Drosophila melanogaster: one gene and its partners. The protein of the gene in region 3 interacts with the protein of the main gene of each other region in a pairwise test. Each region holds a gene or a part of one and is shown on either strand. Other genes may lie near its edges.

The links.
Region 1: the proteins of CG5968 (region 3) and Sas10 interact in a two-hybrid assay, tested with the Drosophila melanogaster proteins (one large-scale study listed by BioGRID).
Region 2: the proteins of CG5968 (region 3) and CG8838 interact in a two-hybrid assay, tested with the Drosophila melanogaster proteins (one large-scale study listed by BioGRID).

Annotation. Positions count from the first base shown.
Region 1 is NC_004354.4:5,311,423-5,323,287, forward strand, and holds Sas10 (something about silencing 10), read left to right. Parts: upstream 1-5,986; 5' UTR 5,987-6,081; coding exon 6,082-7,368; 3' UTR 7,369-7,649; downstream 7,650-11,865. Other genes in the region: TrxT (thioredoxin T), read right to left, coding at 1-289; dhd (deadhead), read left to right, coding at 1,038-1,361; CG4198 (uncharacterized protein), read left to right, coding at 2,011-2,723, 2,790-3,510; CG15930 (uncharacterized protein), read right to left, coding at 4,036-4,612, 4,679-4,764, 4,854-5,384, 5,450-5,614, 5,678-5,860; Rnp4F (RNA-binding protein 4F), read right to left, coding at 7,714-8,160, 8,232-8,334, 8,391-8,511, 8,576-9,082, 9,137-10,081, 10,140-10,315, 10,397-10,905, 10,968-10,985. UniProt on the Drosophila melanogaster protein: Essential for gene silencing: has a role in the structure of silenced chromatin. May be involved in gene regulation during development. Binds RNA.
Region 2 is NT_033779.5:3,351,763-3,362,649, reverse strand, and holds CG8838 (uncharacterized protein), read right to left. Parts: upstream 5,005-10,887; 5' UTR 4,901-5,004; coding exon 4,229-4,900; 3' UTR 4,032-4,228; downstream 1-4,031. Other genes in the region: GramD1B (GRAM domain containing 1B), read left to right, coding at 1-234, 1,207-1,654, 1,722-1,932; E23 (early gene at 23), read left to right, coding at 9,258-10,174.
Region 3 is NT_033779.5:16,543,676-16,554,622, forward strand, and holds CG5968 (uncharacterized protein), read right to left. Parts: upstream 6,285-10,947; 5' UTR 6,212-6,284; coding exon 6,028-6,211; intron 5,972-6,027; coding exon 5,676-5,971; 3' UTR 5,506-5,675; downstream 1-5,505.

The DNA of each region.
Region 1 (11,865 bases), on a different chromosome or scaffold from region 3:
TATCGGAATTGCAGCCAACGAAGAGCTCCAGCACATTGCCGCCCTTGATGAACACAAAAGTGGGCATGCTATTCACATTGTATTCGACCGTAATGTCCTCGTTCTCGTCCACGTTCACCTTGAGTACGACGACACGGTCCGAGTACTGCTGCGCCAGTTCGTCCAGCTTGGGTGCTATTATCTTGCAAGGTCCGCACCAGTCTGCATAAAAATCAATTACCACCAGCTTGTCCTCGGCGAGGATTAGCTGCTGGTCAAGATCGTCCTTGTTCCGCACTGGGTACACCATGACTTTAACTAAATTCCAAACGGATTGCAAATCGAAACGAAACAAAAAAAAAAAAAAATGGGAAGAGAAGAAAGAAAAAAAAAAGGAAAATGTTAGAAAATCTTGTTTTGGGTGTAAAATTCACTTGATTTGTTTTGTTACTTTTGAATTTTAATGGAGCTCTGCCCTCGCCGAGATATCAGCCCGAAATGAAAATTGTAGGGCGGCAGGCGTTCTTTTATACAGTTTTCGCCAAATATTTTGCGGCCTTCTTGGATTGAAAAAAAAGTGTTTTCAAATGTCAGCGGCGCGGTGTGTTGAGGTGAGTTTGGCTTCGAACCTACCACGGCTATGGCAACACTCGAGGAAAATATTAGTACTATGTCGTGTGACGCCATTATTTTGCCATAATTACGATAATAATATTCATATCGATATCGATAGACCTGCCGTGGTGAATAAGTATGTTCCCCACCCCCCAACACACTCGGTTGGCTTTCCCAACGACCTGGCAACCCTAACACGCCCGCCATTTTGCACTCTCCATGGGCCGCCATTTTGTTTAGCGGCCACGCGAGAATTCAGCATGCAAATTGGCGGGAATTCCACTCTACACACCGCCACTTGGAGACCCCTATAAAGTCGCCTACGCAGCCGCCATTTCAATCAGTTCACAATTTGCAGCGAAAGCGCCAACAGCCCCATCACGTCAAGTTCTTTAATTTAAAAAAAAGAAGAAAAACACTTTGCTAATCCTCGCGACATAAAAATGGCATCCGTACGCACCATGAACGACTATCACAAGCGCATCGAGGCGGCCGACGACAAGCTAATCGTGCTGGATTTCTATGCGACATGGTGTGGTCCCTGCAAGGAAATGGAGAGCACCGTCAAATCGCTGGCCAGAAAATACTCCAGCAAGGCGGTGGTGCTCAAGATCGATGTGGACAAATTCGAGGAGCTGACGGAGCGCTACAAGGTGCGCAGCATGCCAACGTTTGTCTTTTTGCGCCAAAATCGACGCTTGGCCTCCTTTGCCGGCGCCGACGAGCACAAGCTGACCAACATGATGGCCAAGCTGGTGAAGGCGTAAGCAGCAATCCTGCCCAGCAATTAGCAATCAGCAGCGCATCTTTTTTTTTTTACTTATTTAACTCATCTTTTAAACATGTTCGCCTCATTTGTGTTCGTTTATGTATTCGATGTTATGTGTATGCTCATGTGATGTTTAGCTTGTAAGCGCGAGATGTGGGTAGCAGGAGATGCAGTGCAGCCAACAGCAGTGACCAGATGATATATGCTATGCTACTACTACTACTTATATGCTATGATTTGTGGCGCGGAGGCGTGTCTGCGACACATAATCCCGCCCATTTAGCTTTAAGATTCAGGCACTAAGAAGCAATTCGATCAATAAATTATTGTAACCACTCTGGACATTTAAATGTTAACATGGAATCAGCTTTGTTTTTTTTTTGCCCACAGCATTTGGATTGTTAACCAAGTAGGCGCTGCGTGGTCATGTCATTTCGGGTTCCAGCAACATTTGGCATTTGCTAACCAAACTTGAGATCACACACACGAAAAACAAAAAATCCCAAACATTCCGCAGCACAAATTCAATCAAATCCAAAACGCACATTTCGGTCGCATCCAAATTGTACGGATTTCGTTAGTAAATAAAAATCAAATTTCGTGTAAATCCAATCCATAATCCGTGGTAGAGTAGAAACCACACCATCATGTCGTATCAGATCAAATCGACGCCCTACTTTCGTCGCATGTTCAACGAGAGCAAGAAGAATGGCCAACTGCAGCGTCTGCGTGATGAGTACGAGCGCATCCAGGAGTTCAACGATCGCACCATCGAAATGAAGATGCGACAGGTGCGATTAAAGCGGCTATTTCGCGAGATCGAGGTAATTAAGGTGGCTGGCGGGGCGGCCGGTGGCGCCAGCGGTGGCGGCACATCGACGGCATCATCGCCATCGAATGTTGACCAATCGTTTGGTTTAGCCGGCGGACGCGTTACCCGCCGGAGACGGCAACAGGCACACGGTGCTATCACGCTGGCTAGCAGCACGCCCCAGCAGCGGATGCACAAACAGCGCATAGAGACGCTGGCACGCGCACGCCAACTGGGCCAGGAGATCTCGCGTCGGAATGGCCTAATGGCCGAGGCCGGCACCGGCGGTTTCCTGCGCAGCGAACTCCGGATGACGGCCAAGCTGCAGGCGGCGAACGATGCACGCCGGGCGGCCGTGGAGCGTCGCGACTTGGCCGCCAAGCGCATCTCCTATGGCAACGATCAGTCGCGACAGAATATCCAACGCATGCTCATCCAACGCCAGCGCAGACATGAACAGCAGCAAGCGTTGGCGGCGACAGTAGCATCACCGGCGGCACCGTCATCCAATTCCTACCAGGTGTCCATAGCGCAGCAGCCGGTCACAAGGTATGTAAATCTTCTAGAGAATTGTGGGGTTATGTTCACCTTTGTTTGTTTTTTTGTTTTGGCCAGCAGGCCCAGGCATGAATACACGGACAATTGCCAACAACAGCAGGAACTGCTGGCGGTGACCAGTGAGCGATCGACGGAGCAGGGCGATCATTTGCAGATGGAATGCGAGGGGCAGTCGTACTCGGAGCAAAGCTTCCATTCGAACGACTGTCTGGCGCAATCGATGGACGAGGATCTGGATGGTGAGGAGGAGCTGGAATACACACGCCATCGGCGTGATGGCGACGCGGATGAGGAGCCGGAGCGGCAGTCCTGCCTGGTGACGCTGAACAAGGAAAGATCCACATTGGCAGCCACATCACCGCTGGATATGCGTCGAGTCAAAAGCTCCATTGATTCGTATCGAAAGACGCACCTATCTCCGCTGGCCAGCGGCAGCAATTGGGTTCGGGTTGTTGGTGGCGCCCAATCGTCCACCATTGGATCGCATCAGCCAAGTGGAACGGTGCCGCCGCCGCTAAACGATGAACTGCAGCTGGATTCGCAGTCCAATTCGAGTAGGTGGCATGAGGTCTCAATGATGCTGTCGTGGTTCGGCGCCGCTTCCGACATCCCAACCGACTATGCCGATGCTCCGCCACCCGAGGTGCCCAGTCACTACGATTGCGATTCCATTAGCAATGCGGACGATATGCCAACGCCAACTGTGTGCCGTCGACAGCGCATGTTCGCCGAGCAGCCGAGTGATGCTGCCACACAGGCGCAGGAGGAGCCCTTCTAGCCAGCCGACGAGCGGCAGACGCACTGCAGCACACATCTATTTTTTTTACTGCAATTCGGTATGGAAATCCAAACCATCCAACCAACCAACCAGGCAAGTCTGCAGCGCCTGCAAAGTTCACTTATTTGGCATGCTACGCTAGTTTTGGCTTAGAATTCCCGGCCCATCCTGTCCAGAAGTTGTGCACGTGCACTTGGCTGGCAACCTTTTCGCATCTTTATTTGGTAATAAAATTATGGGTATGGTATTACATTTCACAAATAATAATAAAAAAAAAAAAAGAAAAAAAAAAACAAACAGCAATTTCATGTTCAAGTTACACTTTTCAAATGATGCAGTTCATCCCTGAGATAAATGATTGGCAAACATGCCAGCTTGATGATTTATGTATGTTCCGTCGTCTGGTTTTGTCCTGTTTTCATCATTCCTGCTCCTGCTTCTGCTTCTGCTCCTGGTTGCCCACTAGAAGTGCGTCATTCATTTTTATTTTGAAATGGATTCAGCGCCTTGGGCACATGGTAATCCCTATGGAACGAATGCGAAATCATCATCATCATCATCATCATCATCATAATCGTGCAGCGGCATAATTAGCGGCTCGACCATCCCAAAAGGCTGCAGTTCGGGCGCATAGCAACAGGACTCCAACTTGATCCGCGACTCGATTAGATCGTTGATGGTGGGCACAAAAGTTTCATCATACGATAGCCGCATAGAGAATATACCCTGAGCGGTATCCAGTTCGCCGACATGGGCATACAATACCCTATTGAATGTCATGCGCTGGAATGCGGTGATACCATTTTTTGGCCACCCATTGGCCAATGGGCGTACGTGCGACATTTTGCCGCGAAATACCAATGGCGGTGTGCGCGCAAAGCTTAGTGGGAGGAATCGTAGATGGTTCGGTGCCAATGTGACAGACAGGGCATGATCCACATACTCTATGTTCACACATTGGGCGTCCAACGGTGCGGTGACGAGCACCATGGCACGTCGCCAGCCACACTCGCTGTAGGCGGCGCATATGTAGCCCTCTTTATAGAAATAGCTAGGCAACTCGGCACGGTAGCTGCTGATCGTCGTATGGCGATAGAACCAGCTATGGGCATTAAATAACAATATTATCAATCAATCAGTCAATCAATCGATTTAGTTAGTAGCTTACTTTAGATCAATGGTCATCTCGGCTACAGGATTCTTGGCGTACTGCGGTGGCACAATGTGGAACCAGAACTCACACGGAGAGAACACCTGCGCAAGAAAAAAAAACAAAAAAAAAAAGATTGAACTCCTATTTCAAAGCTGTCTCTTTGCTTGGCACGGGACCAAAGCGCACTCACACAGCTCATGATGATCGGGAAGATAGAGTCCTCCTTGCAGATATCCTGGATACGCTGCGGCGGCAGCTTCCAGTGCATGCCAACGGCATCCATGGGCAGTCCATACATCAGTGCACACAAACTAACATCACCGATATCCGGGAAATCGGAAAACGACGGTATCAGTTCCTTGACAATGTAACCATCCGTCGTTTTTGATTCGAGTCCATCGCTGTCGCTATCGTTGTCCGATGTCGACGCTAGCAGTGTTTCCACTGACGCAGCAGCTTCTGCCACTTGGCTATTGCTATTCATGAAGTCAGCATTGCCGGTGTGCAGTTCATGCATCTTCATTGGGCCAGGATTGTTCATTGCCTGGCGCTCCGACACGGTGGCTAACAACTGCTCCAATGGCTTTCCATTCACCTGGACATCGGCTACATCCGGCGGCACAACGATGTTGCAAAGCATCTTATCGAAAATTCGCACATGGTGCTGGTCGTCAGTCTCAGCCGTCGGCTTGGAATCGGTTGTTTTTAACTCGAGAGCGATCTTTTAAGGGGCGAAAAACTTATTAGTAATTTCTACAATACATATATGTATATATTTCGACGCACATGTGCTTTTTCGAAAACTTTTTGCAAGTCACTCGAATCGGAAATCACAAGCCGTATTTTGGCATTGGGCTGGCGCAAATCGAGTGCTAATTCAATTGTTCCATTGATCTGCTGTTCAGAATTAGCCGGCTTCTTGGAATCGGTAGTTTTTTCCTCCAAAGCGATCTTTTAGAGGAAATTACTTATTAGTATTAACTAAGCATACATGTGTAATTTGAATTTACGTACATCTTCGACAACTTTTAGCATGTCACTCAAATCGGCTAACACTTTGTTATTCCGCATTTTGGCACTGGGGCAGCGCAAATCGAGCGGCACATCATTGTTATCCTCGGCTTCTTCCGAAATTTTTCTCAATTTCGAGAGCAAAGTTTGAAGTCTTCCTTCTTTGACGTCCATCTTGCTTTGCATCCTGATTTTAACTGAATTTCAATTGTGGAACTTTTCCCATGTGGCATCACCGCCGTAAGCTAGACGCTAGAGATGGCAAATGCGCCATCCGCGAAATCCACCACACCAATCGGTCATTGGCGGCTATCGAACGTGTTATCGAGCCGTTTGTTTACGCACGTGTTGTGTTTGATTTAATTTAGTTTTAATTTGTATTTAAACGCACAGAGAGCAGCTAGCAAATGGACAGCGACGGTGACGACTACGTGATGAGCGGCTCCGACCAGGAGTACGATGACGAGGAGCGCGAAATACTCGAAGATCTGCGCAAGCAGCGCAAAAAGCCACATGATCCCGTCCAGGAAGTGCTCGGTTTCAGTGATGATGACGACGACGACGACGACGACGACGAGGAGGAGCAGCAGGATGTGGCGGAACTGATGCGCGACAGTGACATCGAGGGCGCCGAAGACGATGACCGCGATCTGCCCAACACCATGGACTGGGGCAGCAAACGGAGCACGTACTACAACACCGACTTTGTGGACCAGGACTACAGCAGCTACAATGCCCAGGAGGAGGAGCAGGCACGCGCCGAGGAGGAGGAGGCCAAAAAGATCCAGCTGCGTCTGGCCAAGCGCATGAGCGAGGCCGATTTCCAGCTGGACAATGTAGAAGCAGCGCCCGCAGGCAGCAGTGATGACAACGAGCTGAGCCATATAACCAAAGTGACCAGCGATCTGGCCGGCCTATCAGAACGCGAGCGACGACAGCTGATGCACAGTGAGTCGCCGGAGTTCATCATTCTCACCCAGGATTTTCAACAGCATCTCGACGAGGTGAAGAACCTATTGAAACCGGTGCTCAACTACGTTCGCAAACACGATGTGCCCATGGTGCCGGCGCTGCAATATGCCGGACTCTGCCACACCGTGCTCACCACCTACTGCTCCAATGTGGCTTTCTATCTGCTGCTCAAGGCACGTCGCATCGACGTCAAGGCCCATCCGGTGATTAGGCGGCTGGTGCAACTCAAGGATCTGATCGAGGAGCTTAAGCCGCGCTACGAGGAATACATTCGACCGCAGCTGGAGGCGCTGCTGGAGAGGATTGAAGATGGCGATGCATTCACCGTGCTGGATGTGGCACAGCGCAAGGCTAAGCTGCAGATACTCAACAAGTACAACGATGGCCAGCAGGCGTCAGTGAGCTCCGATGATGATGATAATGATGACGATGACGATGCTGAGAGTAAGGAGAAGGATCTGCAAGAGGAGGCTGGTGAGGAGGAGGAAGAGGAGGATGCGCGACGCGGCATCACCTATCAGATGGCCAAGAACAAGGGCCTCACGCCGCACCGCAAAAAGGAGCTGCGCAATCCGCGCGTTAAGCATCGCGGCAAATACCGAAAGGCGCTCATCCGGCGCAAGGGAGCCGTGCGCACGGTGCGCAAGGAGCTGCAGCGCTACGGCGGCGAATTGTCCGGCATCAAGGCCGGCGTCACGAAGAGCGTCAAGTTCCGCACCTAGTTTTTATCCAATAAATCCGCCAAGATCATTACATTTTAATCAACTCGATGTTTGTACACTTGAAACACCCATTTCATCCAAAGACTCACCGGGGATTAGTCAACTAGCTGTCATATGCGAAACAAACAAACATTTTTCTTCACTTGGTTCATCAAGAAACCAATTTATATGAGTCGAAACAAAAATCATTGTCTTACAACAGTTTTTCTCTTTGTACAGTGTTCTCCAACCTTGTCTGTTTAGGTTGCCTTAAATCTAAAAAAATATATGCTCCAAATCTTCGTCTTCGTCTTACAAACTAAACCATGGCCGCTGGCACCGGGCTCAGCCGCCGGCATTTGTCGCCTAATCCTTGAGAAATAGCTTGCGAAAGTCATCGTTTGACTTGGGCACAGCAGCTGGCATCTCCTCTTCTTTTTTCTCATCTCCCTTTTGCTCCACTCCACTTTGCTCCTCTCCTATTTGATCATCTCCTTTTTGCTCCTCTCCTTTTGGCTCCTCTCCTTTTTGCTCCTCTCCTTTTTGCTCCTCTCCTTTTTGCTCATCTCGTTCTTGAACATCTCCTTTTTGCTCCTCTCCATTAGCCTCGCGCTTGATGGCCACGTCGACGGATGCCGAAGTGGATGATATGTCCCCCGGCTCGGGCAGAAGCAAGCGCAGCTTCTTGGCAGCCACCTCTTGGCGCACCAGAGTCGTGGGTATAAGCGAGGTGGGCACACGTCGCTTGGGCGCCACACTTGGCTTGACAGCTGATGTGCCCCTCGGCGGTGGGTTTGAAATGGCCACAGAGATCTGAAAGAGTTGTGAAATGCATTTGCTTTGGTTGGTTCGGTTAAACATGAAGGCACACATCATTCGCTTACATTCATGCCCTTGAATAGACAACCATCTCGTCCAGCCACTGCTCGTTGCGCCTCGCCCGGCTTCTCGAACTCAACGTATGCAATGCCCTTGAACTGCTTGTTTCTGTAGAGGATCAAATAGTTTAAAATCAATAATTGTAATTGTAATCTCGCACTCACAGCTTGTGCACCAGGCGCACATCTTTGATGGTGCCGAAAGGCGAGAAGAGTTCGTGCAGCTCCTCCTTGCTGCAAGCGGGATGCAGATTTCTTACAAAGATCTTATTGATTTCCATGTTGGCTAGAAGAGAGACAACTAATGTAAGTCCTTGAAACGCATGTGTCCAAACGGCATGGCGACTCACGCGAATACTTAAAGTTCGATTCCTTGGCCTCTGCATTCGCTGGCCCCTTGACTTTCGATGGCGGTGACGTAGCTCCACCAGATGGCTCGGTTCTGGACTTCTTAATGCCATGCTTCTGCTGCTGCTGCTGTTGCTGTTGTTGCTCATGCGCCTGGCGACGTCGCTGCTCGCGATTCAGTGGCTCACGATTCGTTTGTTGCTGCTGCTGGCGCGGCTTAAGCTTCTGCTGGCGAGGATAAGCCGACTGTGAGTTGGGCTTAATGCGGGAACGCGGCTTCACATACTCGACAGGCAGATCGAGGGCCTGGCAGGCGGCAATGGACTCGTAGGTGCCATAGCAACGTTCATAGCGGCGAAAAAACTCCTGCACCATAAGGCCATTCTCGAGGACGGGCTGCGAGAGAGCTTTGCGAAGGACATCGCGTGTGCCGTGGCCACCATTGTATTCGCTTTCCATCTGGGCAAAGTTCAGCCAGAGCAGGCCGCGTATCGAGCTGCCCGGATAGCCTAAAGATGAGTAGTTAAAACATTGCTTATGCAATCATATTTCAAAGCGCTCACCCATTATTTGGCGCCAAATCTCACGGCCATTGTCCGGACTCCCCAGTTGCGTGTACTCAACTTGGGCCCACAACTGCAGCACCTCGTACCTGGTGTCCGCCTGGTCGCCGTAGAGCACGGTTAGCTCCTCCCAAGCATGATTGAAGGCGGCACGCAGACTGGCGACCTGCTGCTCATCGCTGGCATTGGTGTTGCGAATACGATAGGCCAGATAGTCCAGATGCAGCTCCACGGTCATATCCATGTCGGTCACAATGCGCTGCAATATGAGACGTATCTCTTCATCCACTTCCGCCAACTCAAAGTCCGAGCGCTCCATTAGGTCGAGGAAACGATGATTCAATTGTACACTGGGATGACTGCGCACACCACGATTGGCCAAATCGAGTTCCGTGTTGCGCAGAAAACCTTTGCCCAAGCGTTTGGCCCGTTTGGCTACCATTTCGGCGGTTACCTCATTCTCATCCTCATTCTCCGGCACAGTGACGCCTTCGAACTGAATGAACTCAATGTAGGATAACCAGAGCACATCGACAATGGGAAACTTGGCCACCGAGCGTTCGAATATGAAACGGATCACAGCGTTTTTGAGGTCATCGTCAAGGGATAATGTCTCCACATCGTAGACATGAGCCTTGTGTTGCTCAGACCAATCCCAACCACGCGTTGTCTCGTCCAGATGTTGCTTAAACTTGTCCACAACGGACTTGATCATCTGCCGCTGCTCCACGTTGCACGTCCAGGTGACGCAGTGCTTTTGCAGCATTTCCACAAAGGCGGCAGCCTCATTTTCGTCCGTAATTGTCGATATCAGCGAACGCAGCTTGTCGCCAAAGTCTGGACGCTCCACGTCGTAGTCCGCCAGCAGTTTGGCCCACAGCACATGGTTCTGTACGTTGCCCTGATCCACCAGGTAGTTGACAACGTATTCGGACAGCGGTATGCCTGCAATATGTAACTCGTCAATTGGTTTAACTACGAATGGATTCTATCTATCGCATACTGTAGTAGTAGCCCAACGCTTTGGCACACTGCTCCTCGAATGCCTTGCGCTCCTCGTCCGTTTGGGTGACGACCAGGCGGGCCTTTAGATACTTCAGCCACACGTGAGCCGGCACAGTGGCCAAATTTTGCAGCTCCAGCACCGATGACTCGATCTTTTCCAGATCATTCAGTTTGCTGCATTAACGAGCATCAACATTAGCTAATGCCGATATTGAAAAAATGGAAAATGGGAGTGGGAGAAGCAGGCAAACTCACAATGCGATTCCAATGAGCGAGACCATTTGGGCAAACTTTTTGCTGGGCAACGCATTCAGCTCCTGATACGAGCGCTCTAGCTGATTTCCGCCGCCAGCGTTGTCGCTATCACTGTCACTGTCACTGGACACCTCACTGTTCGATTCCAATTCCGAGCCTTCGATCACGCCCACATCATCGCTACTGCTGCTGGAATCATTGCGCGCTCTGCCACGGCCAGCGGCATTGCCTCCCTCAGTCTCCTCCACTGACGGCTCGTCGTCCGATGAGATCAACTCAATGGTGGTCATATCCCCGCCGGCGGACGACGGTGGCCAGGTTGGGCGCGATCGTTGGCGCAGCTCCTCCGACTTGTGCTCCTCCTCCTGCTGCGGCGACTCACTGTGCCCCTGCTGCGGCGAGCCCTTGCCCTGATCGGGTATCACGATCAGATCATACTCGTCATACGCATCGTCGTCCAAATCCTCTGCCGGCATCTCGTCCAGCTCCTTCTCCAGCTGCCTTTCCAGCTGCAATATATTGGGCATACGCATAAGGGCGGCGCCTATTGGAGCTATAATCTGACACTCACCTGCTTGTCGGCGTCCATGCTTCAACCGTTTATTTTGGTGGAAAACTTTTCGCTTTCCGTGGAACTGCAATTTTTCCCCCCCAAAAAAAATACAGGAAATAAAAAAACAAAAAAAAAACCGCAAACGCAGGGCTGGCCAATCTAATATCGCGTTGTTGCGCTTATCGTGGAAAATTATTTGGTTTCAGGTTTGGTTTCCCTATTGGGCACTTTTTCTTGGAAAAACTTTCCAAGCACTTACTTTCTGAGAATTCGGTTAACGAAAACTTATCATTTTCTGTCAAGAAACACCGGTAAAGTGTGAATAATATGCGAATTTTTTTTTCGTTATAACAGTGTGACCAGTGCGTAATATCGATAGCTGTGCGCACTCGATAGTTGCGGCAGTCCAGACAATGGCTGTGTTACCAGCAGTGCAGTGAAGACTCGTGATGAGCAATTTGAAGACTAATTTCGGTAATATGTGGTCAATATTAACTGGTTTCTTTGGGCGGTCAGAAATGTATAGCAAAGTCAAATGATAAACTAAATCCTACCAAGAAATATAATTTATTTTAAACATATATATATTTTATAGAAATAAATAAAAATGGAATTTATTTTACTTAAGTGCTATATATATATGTATCATAAAATGTAAACAATTTCTGTTTCTTTTACACAAACTATTTAATAATAATAAACTATTTAATACGCAGCCACATCATAAATGGATTAAGTGTAGACAGTACTCAGGCAAATAATAAAAATATTATACCATTATATGAATGGATTAAGTGTGGACAGTAATTAAGCAAATAATAAATATATTACTATATACTATAATACTATAATAGGAATTGATTAGGTGTAAACAGTAATAAGTCATATAATACATATATTGTATATATTATAGGAT
Region 2 (10,887 bases), about 13 Mb from region 3:
CCAGCACGGACAATGACAGCATTCAAGAGTCGCGACATCCCCATCAGCAGGATCAACATCAGCACCAGCACTTGCACATGCACCATCATCACCACCATCACCATGGTAGTCAGCATCATCATCACGATGCCAGGCACTCCCATCATCATCATCATCAGCCTCTGCTTCCCCATCATCAGCAGCAACATCCCCATCACTGGCATCACCGTAAGGCTCTACTTCAGTCCGGCAGAGGTACAGCTTAAGTATTTGGATCCTTTCTGACTAGCAATTGCCACAGGGGAATTGTGTATGTCTATCAGTACTAAAATATAGTTAGTTTATAATCTACTCAGAATTGACCACTTCATCTTTAAAGAAAAGATGTCAAAAATAATAGTTTCAAATGTTGTCGGCTTATTGTCATTAGCTATTAACTATTAACTATTTCTTTTCTATTTGAGAAGCGAATGTTTAGTAATGAGGTTTTGAAACGTAATTTAGAGGGATTTCGGGATTTCGCTCTTTTAATGCGCTTAACTTCAAATATACATTTCAAAGTAAATTCGATAAGAAGCACAGCTGGCACTGCCAAAGATTTATGAGCACACGTGATACAGGTTGCCGATCATAAAACGATTTCACCAATTTTAACCTTCCTTTTGAATGCTTCTTTTTATTAATCTAATAATTTTTCTTGGTAATGATTACTTTTAATGGCTTTATCAAATTTCGATAAGGCTTCATTCATATTTTGCTTAAAGTTTTGTCCCCTTCTAGTTCATAATGGATTTACCTTCAACTAAGTCACAAGAACTTGACGAAGCTTTCGAATCAATTCGATTTAGTTCGCGCATTAATTTCGTTAAAGAAACCTAATATTATGTCGATCATTAAATTTTTTGCAAGGATATTTTTCACCGAAAGGCTTGGTTCATTTCATAAACAGTTATCTACTGGTAATGCAAACTTTTCTGGAAATGTCTTGAATGATATGTCTTTTATCTTAAATACAGTCTCTCGTGACGATTGCTAGCCCATCATGTACCTCCTAATCACTTGCTTTTTATTGCAGCTTAATTTTTTTACTAGTGATTTATATTTTGTTGTACTCTTAATGTTGTGATTTTGTTGCCGGCCTATGTTCATTTCGATTCTTCCGTTCGAATGGTTTGATTTCTAACCGTTCCATATGCCATTCCTTCGCTCGTCCCCGTTTCTCCGCAGGTACCGCCACCCAAATTCGTCCTCTGGAGGAGGCAGTTGGTCCGGCCCCAGCCGTTGATCCCCTGGAGACCCAAATGCTGGCCGCGGGAGGTATTCCCGGGGCGGCAGTCGGCGCCGCCGCCGGTCATCCGCTGCTGCTCGAGGGCGGCAAGCAGCAACAGCTCCACCACCAGCAGCAAATGCACCATCACCACCTTCAGCCGCACAAGCAGCACCTACAGCAGCAGCAGTTGCACCTGGGCGGCGGCGACGGTCAGCCTCTGGCATCGGGTCAAGGGTCACAGGGTCACAGACTTAGACACAAGGGCTTGTGGTTGTTGGTTATACTCTTGCTGTGCTTGATGCTGGCATTAAATGTGATATTATTACTTAAGCTCTGGAGGCTGGAGGAACGCATTGACGTGGATCTCAATCGGCGGGCCCGCATGCCCAGTTTGGCGGCCTTGAGGTGAGTCCAAATCCATACTGACAACCAAATTCGCTATAATGTATGCAAATGAACCTACGCTTTTCAGTGAGCTGCCGAGCACGAATCAGGAATGGCTGGAATTGCTGCGAGACCAGGAGATGGCGCACGAGAACGAGCTGCACAAATGGCAGCAGGTGCTCCAAACTGCCATCGAGCTGCTGAAAAAGGTGAGCATTGTCTGCGAAAAGATCACCAATGATAGCCACCTGCGTCAGAGCATTGAGTCGATGTCGATGGCGGGGCGCACTGAATTCTAAGCATCTCATTAGACGGTGATTAACAGCGGCGATCAGAGACATCGGCAAACAGCAACAGCGTCAACTAATTGTAACTTTAACACTCACTACCACACACATGTATACTTGCAAGGCGTTTCATAACTGCAGGGCAGATTTAAGAAGTCCACTTAACGTCCTCAGCGTTATGATAAATGAATTTTAACTGGATGCATTAGTTTTTTCTTAAAGAACTTGGTTGTTTTCTATTTGCATTTAATGTTTTCGTTTTTATTCCTTACTACTGCCAAATTTAGTCATCTCACGAGCAGATGGAAAGGTCTGATAGTTTTGAAACGCACTGCACCAGCGGGCATTTGTTACTTTGATCTCCTAGTTAGCAATACACAAAACCCAAACTTGTGCATGTTCTATTCTCTCGGATTAAGATACACATCCTCTGACACTGAATGTTAAGGTTAATGTTGAAAATTCATGTATCCCAATCAAGGTTTAACCTATGTTTTCCAACATCTATCTCGAGCAGAGTTGATAAGTAGTCCTTAAAGATAAGTCTTGTATTCCGTAGAGCAAACTCAAGGCCAGTACGGTTAATGTATCATGAAGTACGATTGCAATTGTAATGAAAAACCTTTAAAAATTTTCATATTCTGAATGAAGAATGGAGAAGAGATTCCCATGGCACCACACAAACTCACTGTCAAAACCTTGTATTTTTGTAAGTAATTTTTAATTTTGTATTTACCCTTGTAGAAAGTACTCATTCACTCTCAACTAATCCTTTTTATGTTTGACTAATTTGTATCCTGGATGCTTCCCTGTAAAACGCTTTTTGTGTGGAGAACATAAGTTTGCTTTTAAACTGTTTTACTCAAAATCCTTTTGTTTTTCAGACTGAAAGAACTTTGGCTGAAATCGTAGTACGCTAGCAGTAAAATTATTTAACAAAATGTGCAAGTAAAATGAATCCAATCCAATTGTCTTCGACATGTTAGCAAAACACCCGAAACAATTTTTTGGGCCAAAAGCAAAGCCACCAAAAAATCTGAAAATGAATTTAAAATTCAACTAACATTTAGTCACAAACCCAATACACTTTGAAAAGAAATTAAGAACACAAACCAATATGTTTGTATACATATTTAAGATTATGTTTTAATGGTAAGAAAAGCGCGTGTATGATCTAAGTAGCTGCATTTTAGTTAGACTAGAGCAATTGTTTTGTTTTTATCACGGCATTTACGTGTAGCACCTGTTTGCTTGGCTTTGCTTCAGACAAATGTATCTACAAATCCTCAAGTATTTCATATCTCACAACATACCAAAAACCGAAACAAATCAAGAGAGAGAGCGCCCTGAATTTTTGTTTTAGAAAATTCATTTACATGTCGAGCAAGCGCAAAACTGGCAAACTGGAGAGTATATAATAACTATAACTTTAATATAATTGCCAGTCCATGGCTAGGGGAAATTTGATAAAAACGATTATACAAAATACTTATTGTGTACAATACTTTTGTAAAACCAATCGAAACAATTGTGAGCAATGTTTTCGTTCTTTTGTATAACTCCTCCCAACTCTTTACCCTTTTTCGATTTTTGGCGCCCGTTTACAGACGATACCGATACCAATACCACAACAAGAATCAGAAACAAGATGCTTCAAACTATTTAATCCAAATCGCAAGTCAAGGCTATGGCCAGTAACTGCGTAACTCTATATATACACCATATATATAATCCGTATATATGGCCAAGTATTGTTAGTCTGTAGTAGTTGCATTTTAATGTACCAGAGCAAAAATAAACAAAGCAAAAGCTTGAAAAAAGCAGGAACCTGTGCGAATTGAATGTGAAGAGAAAACTAAACCGGAATAATTAAGAAAAATACATTTAGATCTAAGCTAACAAAATTTTTAAGTTGGTTAATACCACGCTAAAAACTAACTCTTGTCAAATTAATTTGGGCCCTAGCTAAATTGGCTTACGATTTGTGTCACAATTTAGGCTTATTAAACAGAACATACAAGAATAAGAGACCGAATGTTAAGCTGCAGCAATGAAAATTCTAATTTATTATAAAACCGAATAAATAAAATAAAAAAATAACGCCTTTATTTCATTTCATGACATTTTTATTCATGTGTATATAAACTAGACAATCCATATTTAAGTACATTTTCAATTTGGATCGCCTTCATGTGGGATTCAGTGCGGTCCATCACATGGAGGGATCACTGTGATTAAAGTTGTTGATTACTTGGTGCAAATTTGATTAGCTTGAATGAATGAAAATCTACTGGTATATCTATCGCTTCTAAAGACGCCATCGTTTTGAGACCGGAATCTCTGCATTGCCGAGTCGATCTGCAGACCTGGTATTTCGCATCTGTGCACCCGACTTTTCAGGCGAACTCTTCTTGGTCTTCGTCTTGCTCAGCGTACTGGCATCCTTAGCTGTAGATTCTGCCCTTCTGGGAGAGAGGGGTTGTCGCTTCAACTGAGTGGAACTGGTCTTGCCGAGCTTTGGCTGAGCACGGAATGATCCCTGCCCGGCTACTTTCCTTTTGCGAGGCTGAATGACGACCGTCTTGGAGGAATTGGCACTGGTCTTCTTGCTGGACAGGGAGTGCCTTGGCGACACGGTCTTGGTCTTGCCTCGTCCATGGGACATCTTCTCCACCAGCTTCTTAATTGCGTTCTTCTCGCTCGGTGGCTGGATCTTAAGGAAAGTGTGTTTCTGGGTCAAATGCGCGGCAGTAATGGCATTTGCCGCTGGCGGAGACATCAATTCCAGTGTTTCTGGCAAGGGAAACTCCATCGGACTTGGTTTGTATTTGAAAGGTTTCTTTCCGTCGGCAGCTCCACGTGCTGCTTTAGGCCGACGAACTGGCGGAAGATTTCCATTCAGTTCCCTGCGCAGCCTGATGTGACGTTCCACCATCAAATCGAAGATGGAGACTATCGGGGTATTCAGCATGGACGTCATCGTGTTTAAAACAGAGTAAAAGTTTGGAAAATTCTTTGAATGTTTAGTGATAAATGTGTAATGGGGTGTTTGTACTGCTACAAACTGAGTGGGTGGTTGGAAAATGATTTCTCCATGAACATGTGATCTGACGTATTGGGCAGAGGTATTTTCTTAAAAATTTTGAATCCTTCGTAAATTACAATTATTTAAAGACGCATTTTAAAGCTAAAGACGTATATGCCATATATATACACAAACGCTGACAAAATATTTGCATACTTATAGGCATGTAACTTTAATGTTATAACTTACGTATTGCGATCGTAAATTACAATTATTTAAAGACGCATTTTAAAGCTAAAGACGTATATGCCATATATATACACAAACGCTGACAAAATATTTGCATACTTATAGGCATGTAACTTTAATGTTATAACTTACGTATTGCGATCGTCTTGTTGATAAATCTTGAGTAACGTAAAGTACAATTTTTAAGCTTATAAAGTATATGTGCAATAGATGATGTAAACTTTAAAATAAAGTCGATTTTTTATATTTATCCTAAGTAATCGTATATCCAAAGCGACAAAGTCTAGCAAAAGAAATGGCGACCCAATTTCGATAGCCCTGCTTTATTTCCCAACTCAACCAAGTTCAAAATCCTAAAATAAATTCACATGACGCCGAATGGCATGAGTAAGATCACCGACTTTGTTTATTCCGCTTCTTTTGTTGCATTACAGCTCTCTCCTGGGCAATATCAAGAAAGCCAACCTGACTGATAAGAGTTCAAGTTCATTAAACCGCATAAAAATCAGGAACAATTCGTGCAAAATTTGGGGGCCTTTTCAACGGTTCTTCGATGTAGGGAAGTAAGTATATATTATATACATACATATATGGATTTTATATTGGCCTTAAATACAACTAGGCTACATTGTTATAAAAAACTGCAATCTTCAACCTTGCCTTCTTAACTGGCTACAATTTTCAACACAGCTGTATATAATACACATACGTGTATATAGTCGACTAAGAAATTAAATTAATAGAAAATTTAGCAAATAACATACAAAATGAAAGACCAAGAAACTATTCACATTCCGACATCGCTTAATAAAATTTGTCTAGAAATTCAATATTTGCCGTACGCTCACACGTACACTTAGAAAAATGGCCCACCATACGCACTAGCACACATCAGAAGAAGAAAAGAGCAAATTAAGGAGAAAAAGAAAGAAAATAAGAATCTTATCAGCGGTAGAACAAAAACAAAGTTCAGTAAAAAAAACGAAACAAAAACAAAAAGAAAGCCACCAGAAGTCGAGAGCAACAACAAATTGGCTGTGTGTTTTTTCAAGGTTAAGAGCAAGTGCGTGTGCGTGAATTGGTGCCACTGTATGGGTGTCTCGCACATTTTGCACATTGTGCGTATAAATAAAAAACAGTAACAACAGTAAAACCACCAACACAGCAACAGGAAAAAATAATTTTTTTTATAGAGAGCCGAGAGCTACGCACCGAAAACGAGAAAAAAACATAGCGGCAACTTGGCGACTTATTCGCTCCAAGTTTATGGCAACACAATAAACTTAATAATTTCGCTGCAAACTGAACAATCATCATTATTTAGGCCTAATATGCAATTGTGCGTTATTTTCCATCTGATTTGGTCAACGACCCAGCGCAGGTGACACATTTTAAGGCTTATAATTGTATTATCGTTCCAAGTTCTAAGTGTAATCTCCTCCTCCCTCGTTTTCCCCTTACCGCCCTCTGGCCACCCACGCACACAATCGTATCCGCGGATTGCACGCACACACGGTTCGTATACGCATTCAAATTGCGTATACGCAGCGGTTACCCTCGAGTTTAATGACTGATAAGATTGGAAAGCGGGCATTTGCCTAACAGCATTAAGAAGAAATTATGAAGCGAATCTTCTAGAGACTTAATTTGTTTTAATTGTACCCTATTAAAGGCTCGCAGACCAACAAATATTTTATTGTCAACTTTAATTTCAAGTACTTAAAAAAAGGTATAGAAAATTTCATTGTTGATCCAACTCCTTGATAAGTACAATATAATTTGTAAAGAAGAAAAATTGCCTTCAAAAGATATCGAAACGTAGGACAGACTCAAAAATTAGTAAAACTTTTTGTTTCGCGAGACACATTAAATCGCCCGAAAACCGCTTGCTACTCCAAAAACGTCTCGAAACTTGTTGAATGACTTCTGGGTTGCCAGCCAAGACCTTAAATTTCTATCACCAAGTTGAAATTCGAGATCAGTCAAACTAAATAACCAACTTTTATTGGTTCGCTTTATTTATCAACGAAGATTACCAAAGTTCGTTGGGAACTGAATATGGATAACAAAATGTTGAGCCCTGTTACTGTTAGGGAACAGCAGGGGAAGTGATCTCGCTGTAAGCCCATAACATTTGTAATGCAATGTACGCAGAGATAACTTAACATTCATGTAATAGAAAGAGAGCAAGGGAGAGAGACTGCACTTAAAAAAATATAACTACTTATTACTATAATTCGTATTAAATAGTGTTTACACAAAAGAAGGCCAGGGATTTTTAATTTTAACGTAATCAATTATTTCTTAACTTACTTTATAAAATTTTAACTTTATCATCTAATTTTTTAATTTTTATCATTTTTCGATACTGCAGAGATATCTCTTACATGCCTTCTGAATGCAAGCCATAATTTGTTTGGTTTTTCATTCCTCGACTTAAAACATACACCTTAGGGCGATTTTTCTCGGTGCAAGCTCCATACGCACGTGTGGTGATCGTAGGCGGCGAGAATGAGTGTGGGGGGAGAGTGCGCGAGAGCGAGAGCGCGAGAGAACGGGAATGAATGAGCGGCGACTTTTGGAGCGCTGGCGCAAGCGTTTAGCTTTAACGGTCCGCGATCAGTTCAGTACGTTCAGATCAACGGGCGCCGTTGGATGTTTTCTTCAATGTTGAAGCGCGCCGAACTCGCGTTGTGTGGAAAAGCGGAATAGCTCTCTGTTTTTCGTCGTGTTTCTACGTTACTTTACTTTTCGTTCGATCTGTCCGTGTTTCGTTTCGGCTTTATAAATCGAGTAATTCCCCATCCAATAATTAACACGCGTGTTATCAAAAATGTTTACAAGAAACCTACATATGTTCAATAAGTAAGCCGAAAAAAAAAGGCAAAGAAATCATTTAAATTGCAAAAAAAGTGCTGACGATTTTTAATATCAAATTCGAAAAAGCAACAAAGAATTTTATTACCTTCCTTCGCTTTTTGGGTGCGTTGTTATTGCAATTACTGCATTTACCTTATATTATATGTTGTTCAAACACACTGAAATCGCTAAAAATGAAAACTGACGTTTTGCTCTGGCGCTTTGTTTCGCGCGGGCTAATTGACAAATATAACAAAATTCGCCAGGCGTCTCCACTTCTCTCTGATTCTCCCCAATTCTCACCGATATTCTGCGATTCCTTTTCATTATCTTTTTCTGTGCCGGTGGCAGTGCATATAGGAAATTGTCGGAAAAGTTCTCAAGCCAAAAAGCTGTGTAGAATCTGAGTTTTTGAGGAGATTCCTCGAAGTCGAGGCAAACATTTTCAAGTTTAAATAAATTATTAAAATTGCAGAACGTTTTTACGAATTAAGTGAAGCCTGAAATGAAGTGAATAGTTTCGGTGAGAGCTGGCGAGCATCTGATTCCAGTGAATAACAGAGATATCGCATGAATAACGCGTGAATAATTAGCACTGCAACTTGAATAAGCAACGAATTCCTAGTAACAATAAATTATAAATTGAATGCAATTCACTGGGATTGTGCAGCAAAAAGCAAACTGCTCATAATAATAAAATCATCACTTTGTTTCCGTGCTTGCCTGACTTTTTACCTTCCGACATCATTGTCGAAAATGTAAATAATTTTGTGTATTCATAATCATGTAATCTCTTAAATCTTAAAATTATATCACAACTTGTTTCACTTGGCTTACATATTAATTATATCTGTACTCTTCTCTGCTCTTACTATATTACAGTCGGCCACAACTCGGGAAAAGAAAAGAAAAAGGAGGCAAGCCAGACAAGCCAGGGAATTATGAAATTTTAAAGAAATCCCCAAAAAAGCCAAGTTCCCAGAGCCGCAAAATATGTTTAATGCATTAAAATAAACGAAACGAAACGAAACGTGTTTAAGGCGAGTGCAGGCAGAAGACGAGCAAAAAGTTGTATACGCATATACACATAGATATATTTAAACAAGATTTACATTTAAAATCCCCCCAATACACACGTACGTATATTTAAAACTGTGGCGGCAACACCAACAACATCCAGCTAAGCGTTCACAAAAAGGTGATAATGATTATTTCCAAGGATCTTTTCATATTTGGCGAACAAATTTTTGCAACAATCATACCAGAAGGTGGAGCCGCGGCGCTGGCAACCCAGCAGCAACATCAGCAGCAGCATCAGCAGCAGCATCAGCAGTCGCATCAGCAGCCGCATCAGCAGTCGCAGCAGCAGCAGCAGCAACAACAGCCGGCAATTATAAATTCAACAACGACGACGGCCACTTCGTTGGTAATAAACTCGACAGCAGGAGCAGCTGAACAAGTTGTAGAGGAGTCATTAAAAGTAGCAGCAGCAGCAGCAGCAGCAACAACAACAACAACAGCCGCAGCAGCAACAACACTACCAGCTAAACAGGAAACAGTTGCAGTTGCTGCCGCCTGTGTTGCTCCTCGCAAATTGGCAAAAATTCAGAAAATTCCAAAGGAACCCGAGGAGCTCAAAGCCAAGAAAAAGGCAAAGTGTGAGGCAGCAGCAGCGGCGACTCATTACGAAAAAATGCCAATGAATTTGATGATCGTGGAAAGTGTTGAGGCAGTCGATATGGGATCATCGGACAATGACAACGAGACAACGGAGCAGGTACCGTTGGTGAGTGCCAGCCGTCGCAATCTGGCCAAAATAGTGGCCGACTGCCGCCTCCAGATCGAAGTGGAGCCGGCAACATCGGCAGTGGCCGCAGCAGCAGCAGCAGCAGCAAGCGTTGCATCCCCGCCTGCAACATCGGATGCGACAGCAGCGACATCGGTGGCCAGCAGCGACTCCTCTGCCTCATCATCAGCATCTTCGACGTCGTCGTCATCTTCCAGCTCAACGTCCTCAGAATTTACGCACACATCACAGACAACGATACCAAGTACGGATAATCTAACGTCATCCAATGGTCTGGCCAATATAGGCAAAAGCATTTTAGTTGATGCCAAAAGGTGAGTGTTCAATCAGCGTTGACCCAATTTCCGAGCCAAGCTCGTACCTACATAAATTCAGGTGTGTGTGTGTTATGTTTTGTTTTTTTTTTTTGTGTCCGCACTGATTGCATGCAGACTTCGTCTTAATAAGGAGGGGAAAGTGGAGGCGATCCAAGGGTAAATCAGGATTTTTCCAAAAAAAAAAAAAAAACAGTTCTCCGGATGAATATGTGGCGTTTCCAACCGGTTGCATTCGGTTGACAGTGAGTTGCAGCTCGTTTTGTACAGTTCGAGCGGGAGCAAATTACTCCTACTCTTGGAGCTCAATGGAGAATCTATGTTCTTCTACTCTTGGAGCTCGATAGCGAATCTATGTTCCTTTTGATTGAATCGGTTCGTACTCAAGCTGTCAAGTTTGCTTTCAAAGTCAGCCATCAATTGCGATATACTTTTGGCTGAGCAGTTTTAGCCTGCCCTAGAATTTCAATTACATGAAACAGTGTGCCTTTTCGTTATCAGATTTTTAGCAGGCAGTGTAGGCCCGAACACTTTTGCAGTATTAATTGATTGCCCATCGGCTCGAAAACTCGTTCTAGAACTGAAGCTTCCTGCCACTAACTAGGGTATCACTCAGCACGTTGGGGATATCCCCTTCGGCAAATCCGAAAGGCAGCCGTATCTGCTTAATTACATCTCACAAGCCGAGTGGGGGACACCAAGCGCTTCGTTAG
Region 3 (10,947 bases):
TATAGAAATTGACTTGAATAATGTGGTGTCCATTGCAAAACGGATTAGCAGGACTAGACTTATATTACGAGTCATTTTTCGATTCTCCCACTTATGTATATTGTTCAATTGACCTTTGATAATACAAAATTGCCTAGATTTCAAATAATATTACGTATACTAAAATTTATATATGTATGAAGTTGTTAGCCAGTTTCTTTCTTTTTTTTTCCATGAAATATTGAAATCTTCCTTCCGTTTTGCTTTGAAGTTCAAGTTATTTATTATTTGTTGTATTCTGCAAACAGCTGTTTGCATTTCGGCCGGCGTCGCAAAAGCAACAATTTTCAACCGCGTAAAGCTTTTGGCCTCTTGAGCCATAATTTCATACAGGTTGCAGGCTTGGAAAAATAACTCAATCTGGACTCACCTACTCACTCTCACTCTCTCCCTCTCCCTCTTCCAACCTTTCCTTTATTCACTCACTCTCCCACGCGATTTTTGGAACAAAAACGACGGCAGAGGAAATGCAGCGCAGTCGACGCCAAAAGGGATATTTTATATTATATATTAAGCCCGTCCTTAAATATGAATTTCCCAATCCTATTCTTATTCAAATTATAAAATGTATATTTAGCTTTAAGTTTAAAATATTGTTAAGTCGTACTCGGCTTCATTACGTAAATATCTTATTCATATAATTTTTGTACACGTAGTGTCACATGATAGAGTAATCAAATAAATGCATTTGGTAATAAGCTGATCTTCTGGACATTCAAATAACTATGCTCAAAAACCTTGCTGGCCCTTGATTCACTTAATAACTCAATTTTAGGACTTTCAGTGGGTGGAAATTTCCCTGGCACCCACGCAAACGAACGGGTTAAAAGATAGTGAAAAAGAGAGAGCGCACGAAAGCAACAATTGCTTACTCTTATGCACAAAGAAAAAATACTAACAACTTCAATTTTTGCATTGAATTACATAGAATTCGATAGAAAAGCCCAGGTCAAATAAAAAATTAAAACAATAATTTAGATAACGACTTATTTGATGTTAGATATTAGATTTAATTCGGTTAATGGGTAAGTTAGAAGAAATAATGTAAATTTTTGCATTGCAATAATGAAGCAATGAAACAAGCTTTACGTTAACGTCACATGAACTACCGTTAGCGAGCGAACAGTGCAGAAAGCGCTCAAGAGCGCGGAGCATTCCAATGCGTTGGAGTAAGAGCGTGCAGAATTCGTGGGAGCAAATTGGCGCCCGAATCAGCCGCTTTTCGTAACTCACTCAATGCGAATTGTTTTCAAGCGCCGGAGAGAATCTATATAGAGGGGCTTCTCCGACTCGCTTCGAATATGTTTTTCGCAGCGCGCGCGTTCGCATCGGAAAATCAGAAAAGCTGGCAAGCGTTTAAAAACAAATTCGGCAGGTACAATTGTTACTTGTTTTCCCCTCAGTTGACTATTTCGTCGCAGGTTTTTGGCCAGCGGAAACCATCGTAATAACCGTTTATCGTTATTTTATTATATTCGCGTAAATCGTTGTTTGTTCAACCACAGAATACTTGTTGTTACGCATTTCGAAAATGGAAATGCGAAAATTTCCAAGCAGTGAAAATCAAAACGAATAAAATATATTGGCTGCTTTTCGTGTTTAGCGCGTACGTGTGTGTTTCTGTGTTAGTGAGTGCAGCAAGAAATAAAACCAAAAAGCAACAAATAAATAAATAGAAAACAAAAGCAAAATCAAATCCAAATTCAAAGGCAAATACTTGCAAAGTAAGTTGATAATATCAGAGTGTGGTGCTAGCATATGTTGCATTATTTTGCCCAGCAATTTACATGTTTTTCACATTTTCTTCTCTCACAAATGACAACTAACTAATATGGATGATATTAACGGTGTTTAGAGTTGGCTTTTCCATTGAGAAATATGAAAAAATGCGTTCAATATGTTAGCGTACACACACACACAAGCGGCGGCTAACTGTTGTTTGTGTGTATGTGGGTGAATTGGCAATAACGCGCACGTGTATTAGTGTGTGTTTGTTTTTGTTGCCTTTGCGGCCAAGTGGCAGCAAAACGTTGCAAGCAACAAAAACAATAACTACGATGGCAAAACAAGTGCAGTCAGCAAAACCAACTCAACCAGTGCCTCTCGCGCTCTCCCACTCTCTCTCTCTCTAATACCCAAGCCCACCTCCTGCTCCCACACTCACCCTTCTCCCTCGCACCCATTGACGCAACTGCATGGTCAGGGCTTCTTTTACTGTTACAAAGCTCATGCGTGGACCCAATAGCAAAATGAATGCACGATGTACTTAGTTCATTAATTCCGCCAAATCAGAAATTATAATTATAAATGTACGAGTTTAATGGATTAAAGTTAGGTGTACGTAATTTTTTTAATTGTATGACCACTTTGGTGAAGCATAACCGTGGTATGAAGCTATTACAATTTCATGAACTTGGCGGCATAAACTTTGCAATTTACTATCTATGGTCGTCTTTGGATTTTTGGCTTCGCGCTTTTTGCTCTTCGAAGTGCGCTGCTCTCTTTGCGCCAAACAAAGCTCGGCCGACACTTGTCGCGTCTTTTGGATATCTGGCCTCCTCCCACCGCCCACTGCCTCTTTACATATATCTTTTACATTTTTTGCTTTCATACACTGAATAAAATTATGGGTATATACCGTACTATCAAATGTTTCTGAGTAAAAATTAATTTAAATAAAAAATTTAATTATATAATTATAAAATTATTATATAATCACTTGTATTTAATGTTGTATGTGTTGCAAATCCATTAATACTTTTAAACTTCTAGGCTTAAAAACAAATGTCTGTGAAAAAAGTGGAATTCTTGGAAAGTGTATCTCTTTGGCTTTTCCACCTCGAGGCGTTTTCGCTTGAAGCTTTTGCGAGTTTGGTTCGATTTCCATTTGCGTTTAATTGCATTTATGCATTTTTAATCGAGTTTGACTTTGGTGAGCTTTTTACTTTGGCATATGCTAGATTGTCGCCCAGACACACGGGGTTTTTTTGGGTGAAAATGGGCTCTTGCTGATCCAAAAGATAAGTTTCAGTTTCGTCCTTCTTGGTAGTGAGATGTTTGGACAAAGTTTTCTAATTGGCCTTGACGCCGTTTTCAGAGTTTTAGTGCTACTAAAAGGCAAGAGTGCGAACTTTCTGCGTCTTTAATAAGATAATTTATTTGCAATTATAATTTGGTTCATTAAAGTTAATTGAATTAAGGGCAGGCGTTACATTCCAACCAAATGGAATGACAATGGGTGTGGGGTTAAAGATAAAAGGATTTTAGTTAGTGAGGAATATATTTTGTGATAATAACGGGTAATTAAATTTTTTTTTATTTTAAACTGAACCGCTATTAGGCAATTTTGGGCATTAAATAGTTAAAAGCTTTAGATACACAGTTTCAATGCGGTATACAAAACTTCATTAATTTTCGATTAATCTAGTATTTTTATACTATAATTTAAAAACCTTACGTCATTTATTGTTTTAAATCAAATTTTAAATTTAAATATTTTAAGATATTCCACTTCTCCAAAGAGGTTTTTTTCGAACAATTTTTAACTCACAGCCAACAGCTGTTGCATCCTAAGCAAACATTTGTATGTTTAACTTAGTCCTCTTGAAAGCTCAATTAAAGTCGCGTGTATAACCGCCCACTACCCAGGGATTCTCTAAACTTCTACACTCCGAACACACACGCCAAGTTTGCAACTTGGCATATGTTTATCTGCTAATCATGGAAATGCGATGCGGTGTTGCAAAATATTTATCTAGAAACGGTTGACTAAAAAAGAGGGAAATAAGCGAAACAGCTTTTCAGCCAAACTGCAAATGGGAAAGCAGCCCCCTTACCGGTTTCCCACTTTTCCGGCACGGCGACCATATGCCAAAAAGCTGAACCAAAAATCGCACACACATTTGGGGATAAAACGCGATGCGAAAAAAGCATAAGTAGGCTGCTGTGACATTTCGTTGTCTGGGTATACGCTCATCGCGAACAAGGATACAGGAGCATTAGGGTGGAGCAATTTGTTCGAAGCTAAATATAAAAAACTTCAATATTGATTAAACTTGTTCATGCATATAGGACTTAAACTAAGTAAAGATCTGAACTAAAATTAAGTGCTTTTTTTTTAATAGAAGAAATATTAAGATCAGCTATTTTTGCGGACTGTTGATTTCCTTTTAGCGCTTAAACCTTTATAAGAATATACTTGGCATTTCAAGACTTTCGTAAATTCAGAACTTGGCTTAGATTGACGCACCCTGATAAAAGCACACTTATAAAGGCACACATTTGTATATCCGCACATCGGCACACACAAATAATTCGCCGTGCTATGTATGCCAGTATGCCGAAAAAAAGGGCAAGACATAGCTTCACCCGCTTTTGTCGCTGCCCACGCGTCACGGGCCGAAAAGCAACCACCCCACTAAGCAGCCCGCCCAACTAACCCACCGCCCGCTAAAACCACCCAACGACAAGCTCACCCACTCAGCCATCGTGTATGCCTTAACATTTACCTTGTTGGCCCGAAGTTGTCCACCAAACATTTGTTGCACTCTTCGCGTAGGAACCGCTTCTCACCATGCTGTTTATTCACCAGGCTCTCTCCCCCACTGGTTCTCTCTCTTGCTTTCTCTGCCTTTCTCTTTCTCTGTTTACATTGCTCTCTCTTTGAGGTAGCCGACGCCGGTCCGACGTCATCGCAAAGGTCAAAGCAAAGCAGCGCGAGTAACTATATAAAAAACCCTACAATTGCACCGGAAAAAATGGATTTGCATTCGAAATTCATAAGTTTATTTAAAATAAATATTTTATTCATACATCTTTATTTCCAACAATAATTAATGACAAAAATAAAATAGTATATTTAGAACTTGATTTCTAATAAATAAAAAAAAAAGAAATAAATATTTTAATCTCTAAAAATATTCCATATGAAGTATACAGTGATTTAAAAAAAGTTACTTTTTTGAAATCTTTTACAGTACAATATGGTGTAGAACTTGTTTGAGTGCATTAAAGCTTTTTACGAAAATTTAAGGGATCCTGTAACTGGTGGGTTGGCCATTCTAAATGCCTCGAGGGGCGGTGGTGCGGATGGCGTGTGGGTGACTTCGGTGGGTGTCCAACCATATGGTCAATTCAATGCACTGAGTAAATTGCTCCTTGGCGGAGGCAACGCTTCATTTGGTTTTCAAATTGAATAGGAAGCGTCGCGACATTGTCGGGCGCCTCGCTGCCACCCACTTTCCCGAATATATGTATACTCCCCACCGCCCTTGCATTTGAGGATTCGTCCTCCGCTAATTGAGACATTTGTCAGTTTGCGCAAATGAGCCACCATTTCTCAAAGGCACCCTCTCATTGGCCACGGGAATTAGGAGACGGAAAGTAAGGACTTATTCCCGACAGCAATTTCGTATTTTAATCGATTATACCCAATGGACCTATTTTAAATATTTAGATTTAAAAACGCTTTAATGAAATTTTATAAGATTTTAATATCTTTTCCTATTTTGGGCCAAATATTATAATAGAACGGACAAGAAATTTATCCTGTAACAAATATATGTAGCATTGGTTTCTTGGATGTTTTTTTTTTTTTTTTTTTTTTTTTGACAAGTTCGAATATCCTTTTGCGTGGCTTACTTAAAAACTGTTCGCTTAATCAGCTTGGATGGCGTTTTTCTTATGTTTGTGGATGAACTAGGAATGTCCTGCAGTCGGCCCTTTTCAGTTGGTTTTGACTTTACCAACTGTTCCGTTGTCTTGACTTGACTTGGCTTCTTATTAATTTTTTTCTCAGCGACCGACGATAAAGGAGTCTTGGGTATTAATTTCTTTTTCTTTTTAAGTGACTTCTCCGGAGATTCTTCTTTGTCAAGGGCCTCCATCTCAGACATCAATGTCTCGAAGGTCACATTCATCAAAAAGTAGCGACCTTTTGAATTTACCTTTTTTTAAGGTGTGGTATAAAAATAAGTTTAAGTATCTCACCGTCGAGTTTCTGCAGGAATCCCAAGCGATGGCCCATTTCAAGGGTTTGTTTCACAGGCTCTTTAAGCTCATCTTGCGATAATTCCGTATTTTTGGCTATGGTTACCACTATTTCTCGCAGTGTCGCCGGCGCTTTCAACAACTGAAGTGTGTGCACTATAATAGCCCCATTAAAGTTGGGCATTTTTTTCGATATTTGTGTAATTCTGTATAAACGTGTGCTATCACTAAAATCGGTTCTAAGAACTGAGAGTTACGTGCAAAACACAAAATACAACTGGCCAGCTGTTAGTCAGATTTCAGTGACAACCAAGTTCTCAGCATGCTTTAATTTAAATATTACAAAATCCTACACTTTTAAATAACACAATTATTTTAAAGAAATCTATTAATTAAAAGAGAATAGTACATATTGATAGAAAAATACCTGTACCTTGATTGTACTCTGTTCGCTGGCATTTGAATCCTTGGCCAAGTTTGGACCGCCATCCAGTTGGTAACAAGACTTACGTAGACTGGCCGACGTCAAGCGCTTATCTATCAGCCTTGCAGAAGCTGGCCAATATAAGCGGATTTAGCCATATCTATCAATAATCCCCGACTCACAACAACAGGAGTGGTAAAAGAATTGAGCAAACTTTGCCGCTCTCTGTTCTCCAATATTGGCTTCTGATATTTACATCAGGGACGCCTTTCTGCTGACGTTTTTCGCCACTGCTGTTTCTAATCAGCGTGGTCTAAATATAGAATCCCTGACCGCCCACACTTTGGTAATCGAGCCCAGAATATATACCATATGGAGGTTTAATTAAACTGGGTTGTGCAAAAAAGAAAAAAAAAAAACGGCACAAAAAAGCGAATGCAAAGAAAACAATAAAGGATGTTTATACGCACGCCAAAGTTTTCGTTATCAATCATTTTTATAGTGGCAATTAAAGCCTCAACAGCTGTCAAAGTCAACTGACTAACAAAGATGTCAATGCTCAGTCATCTTCAACTTCAGGCAATGGCGAAATCGATGAAAAGGCGAACAAAAAGCACTAAACAAAGTTAAAATGTTATTAATGCCTATTAAGTACAAAAACTACGCCAGTTCCAGTGCTGCCAAGGACAGTTGGAAAGCAGTGCCGTTTACTCTTGATATTGACAGTCAACGGTAATTTAATCAAAAAGTGTCAGAGTTTGCCATATGGCTGCCACTGAACCGAACGTTTGAAAGTCAATAAAAAAAATGGTTAAAACGAATGTGACAGCTAGAAATATATCGTTTCTCCGATGCTCTTTTACGTACATATATATATTGTACTCTTTTTTAAGTATTTGTACATCTTAACTTTAAAGGCTTAAGAAAAATTTGTGATATTATTTGGCAATTTTATACAGAAATATTCATTTTAAATTGAATTAAACATTAAAATATTAAAATGTTTCCAATGTAAAGTAATTAAATAACTTTTAAATGGGAAAATGTACGCTCAGAAACTGAAAAAGACCGAAAAGAAGCCAATAAAATTAATAATTGTTCAATATTGTTGTATGAGCTCCTTCTTTACGTTCTATTTTAATAATAAAATAAACGATTCATGGAAAAAGAACAATAGGATCTTAAAATCAATAACGAATATTTCCAACGCAAATTTTATGTGCATGTTTGCATATTAATTAAAACGTAAATTTCAATGTAAATAAAAATTCAACAATCCGGTGATTTACAATAAGTTCTTATACATTTTTTGCCCTTCACTTTGCTGGCCCTAAAGCACATTAAAGTATGCTATGATTTCTGTTTTTTCTTTGTCTGTTTGCCGTAAATGTATCTGTGTGTGTATGCAGGAATGGTTTTTGTAGGTGGGTTAAATTCTATTTGATTTCCGTTTCGTATAGACCTAAAAATAGAAGCGTTGAAAAATCAGGGACAACAGCTCTCCGCCCAGAGCGAACATTTATTTAAAATGTTTGATGTTTTCCTCGGTTAAATGTAGCCTTTTGACTCTAGCCCAAAAATGAAATACAAACACCGGACTACCAGGAAATTCGTTTGTTGATTGTTTTGCCCCAACGTTTTGCACACTAGAAATAAAAGAATTTCAAAATGGCAACACACTTGCGCACGGAAATTCTTTTCTCAAAATGCCATTTAAAATGCAGTACAAATGTTATTTTAACACTTGTCACTGTGCACAGCCATAAAACACGAACGAGGTATTTTATGAAGTCGGTAGGTGAAAGCAGAAGGCGTGTTTAGAATGACACGCTTTTCACTTATTATTTATGGCAAATGAGAAAAGCTGAATTGTGAACAATGCTGCAACGGATTTTATTGGACAGGAAATTCAGGCATATTTACGGCTCAGAATGGATAGAATGCAAGCATTTATTAAGGTTTAGGTAAAGCACTTTAAATAAAATACGTATGAAATAGATAACCTGAAAACTAAAAAAACATCAATACTAAAAATTTGACATATATATGTCGATTTGAAAACCCATTGCCTTTATGTCAATGGTTTCTCTTGACTCACTGAATTGCTTCAAGTTTAATTTGTTAGCCAAATACGCTTAATTGAACTGAAATCTTCTATACCAAACGGGCAAACACACACACACACACATTCGCATCTTCTTTGACATTTATGCAGAGTCAACCTATAAGCACACAGTGCGACCCATAGGTGAGTGTACATGCGAGTAGTGTGTGTACATGTGTGATAAACGGCAGCCTCTGCAGCCTGACAGTTATACTTGCTGTGTTTTATTCGAAAGGATGACCTGCCCGGCAACCCCAACCCTTATTTTTCCTCATTGTGAACTTACACCACCAAAAAAAAAGAAAAATACTGGCGAAGCCTAATTATATCGAACGAATTTAGCATATTTTCATATTAACATAACTTAATAATCTTTAAAACTAAGGCCCAGTAGCATGTCTGGATATAAATGTTATATATATTTAAAAATTGATTTAAAACTTAATAAAAAATTTATAAACGCTTACATTTGACAAACTGTTTAATCGAATAGGCATTTCAGACATATCAAAAGAATTTTTTTTTCAACTTTTTGTATTATGTATGTCTTGTTTAGTGATGCCAGCTTTAACGGTAATTGTTTCAATGAGCTCCATGAAATTTCTTTGCGTGCCTCGTGTTCTCTGGTGGTCTGTCTGCAGATCATGTTCTCTGTGTATGAAGACCATGCAAGTGACAAATTATATGCACAATGGTGGGGCATGGTGGTTGGGGAACTGGGGGGGGGGGTACAGATGAGTTGTGTGAAAGTGTCAGCATCAGTGTCAGTTTGGGTTTTTCCAAGTAAAATGTTTTATGAGCAGGCAGCGAGACATTTTTGGCCTTGGTAAAATATGAGTTGCATTTTGCAGCTCCCTGAATACGGGCAATAAACTGTGACCTGCTCCACCTATGTATGTGCCAGATACATAGTCGTACATACGTACGTACGTATCTGGTATCTCATATATCAACTAATTGCAATTTGTTTATTGTCCATGTGTGTGTGTGTGCCATCCTTGTTTTGTGGGCTTTGTAATTTTGTTTTATGTCTGGGACGTGCCTTCTTGGCCAATTGGAAATTTTATACCCATAGATTGGCAATTTTAATTGACTTGTTTTCCACAGCAAAGCAGACGACAGACAGCTGTTGCGAAATGTGATTTGCATATGGTTAATTCACAAGAATTAAAGCCAAGCCCGGCTGGAGCAGTCTAAATATCAACAACATATACTGTACTGTTTAAGACATTTTGATTGGGCATAAGCCTCTTTTCTAGCTTAACCAGCATTAAGTGGGCTCCTACACTCGCTTGGCGATGCCCAAAAGTATGCCACTTTAAACAGCAATTGTATTCTCTTCAATTTTTCCCCAACTCAATTAATTGAAGCCATTTCTTTTGCTTACTTTCGTGGGGGTTGTTCCACTGTCACAAATTTTCTCGTCTGACGCTGATCGTTTGCGTCATTTTCATGCGGGCAACTTTTACGCACTTGCGTCTTAATTACTCACACCGCATTTGAGCCGCCTTCGTTTTGCCTCCTTTCGAACGACTTTTCCGGACTCCCGCCGTTTCCATTCCATGTCTTGGCTTAAATCCTTAAGCTCCTTTCACAGTTTGCCTGTCTGCAAGCCGCTTTCTACATTTGTTTTACAACCTACGGGGAGTTTCGATTAAGGTTGTAAAGCCATTTAGCCGAGAGTGATATGTACATGTTTGATGAGAGATTGATAAAAGAAAGATAAATATAAATAAATACGCTTTTATTGTTGTTCAAATTTGTTGTTTATTGTTCAAATAGCTCAAATGGTAATAAAAACTGAAGTGTTTTAGCTTCAATTCATTTGAGTACTATATTTTTATAAGTTTAATTTAATTGAGTTTTTTAATGTGACTTGAGAGAGTATTTCTGAGTTCATTTAGCTACCGAAAAAGTATTTTTTATCAGGATTTCCTTTCTGTGACGCCCACCCATTCAGGAAAATATAGGCTAAGTGGCGCTTACAGCTTTTCGAGTTTTGCGTTTTGATATCTACCCTTAAAATAATGGTTATACGTATTAATTTACAGATACAGATAAGTTGCGATAGAAATTAACATAAATTTATAATGGAATATATTTTAAGTGCAACTTATTCTTTTGCAGTCTATATACTTATAATCCAAAAAGTGTATTTACTCGTTGGCTAATAAGTTTTCCATGGCAGTCTTATCAGTTGAGCAGCTTAGGCTACCGTTCATATAAATTTTCCCTTTGTGCGGCTCCTTCATCCTCCTTCTCGTTTTCCCTCCCAAAGTCATCATCATCGTTGTGTTCGAGGACCGCTGCAACATGTTTGCATTTCATTTGTTAGCAAGTTGTCAACCTTTTATCTATGTTATTATGTCTTGCCTACATAGCTGCTCCTTTT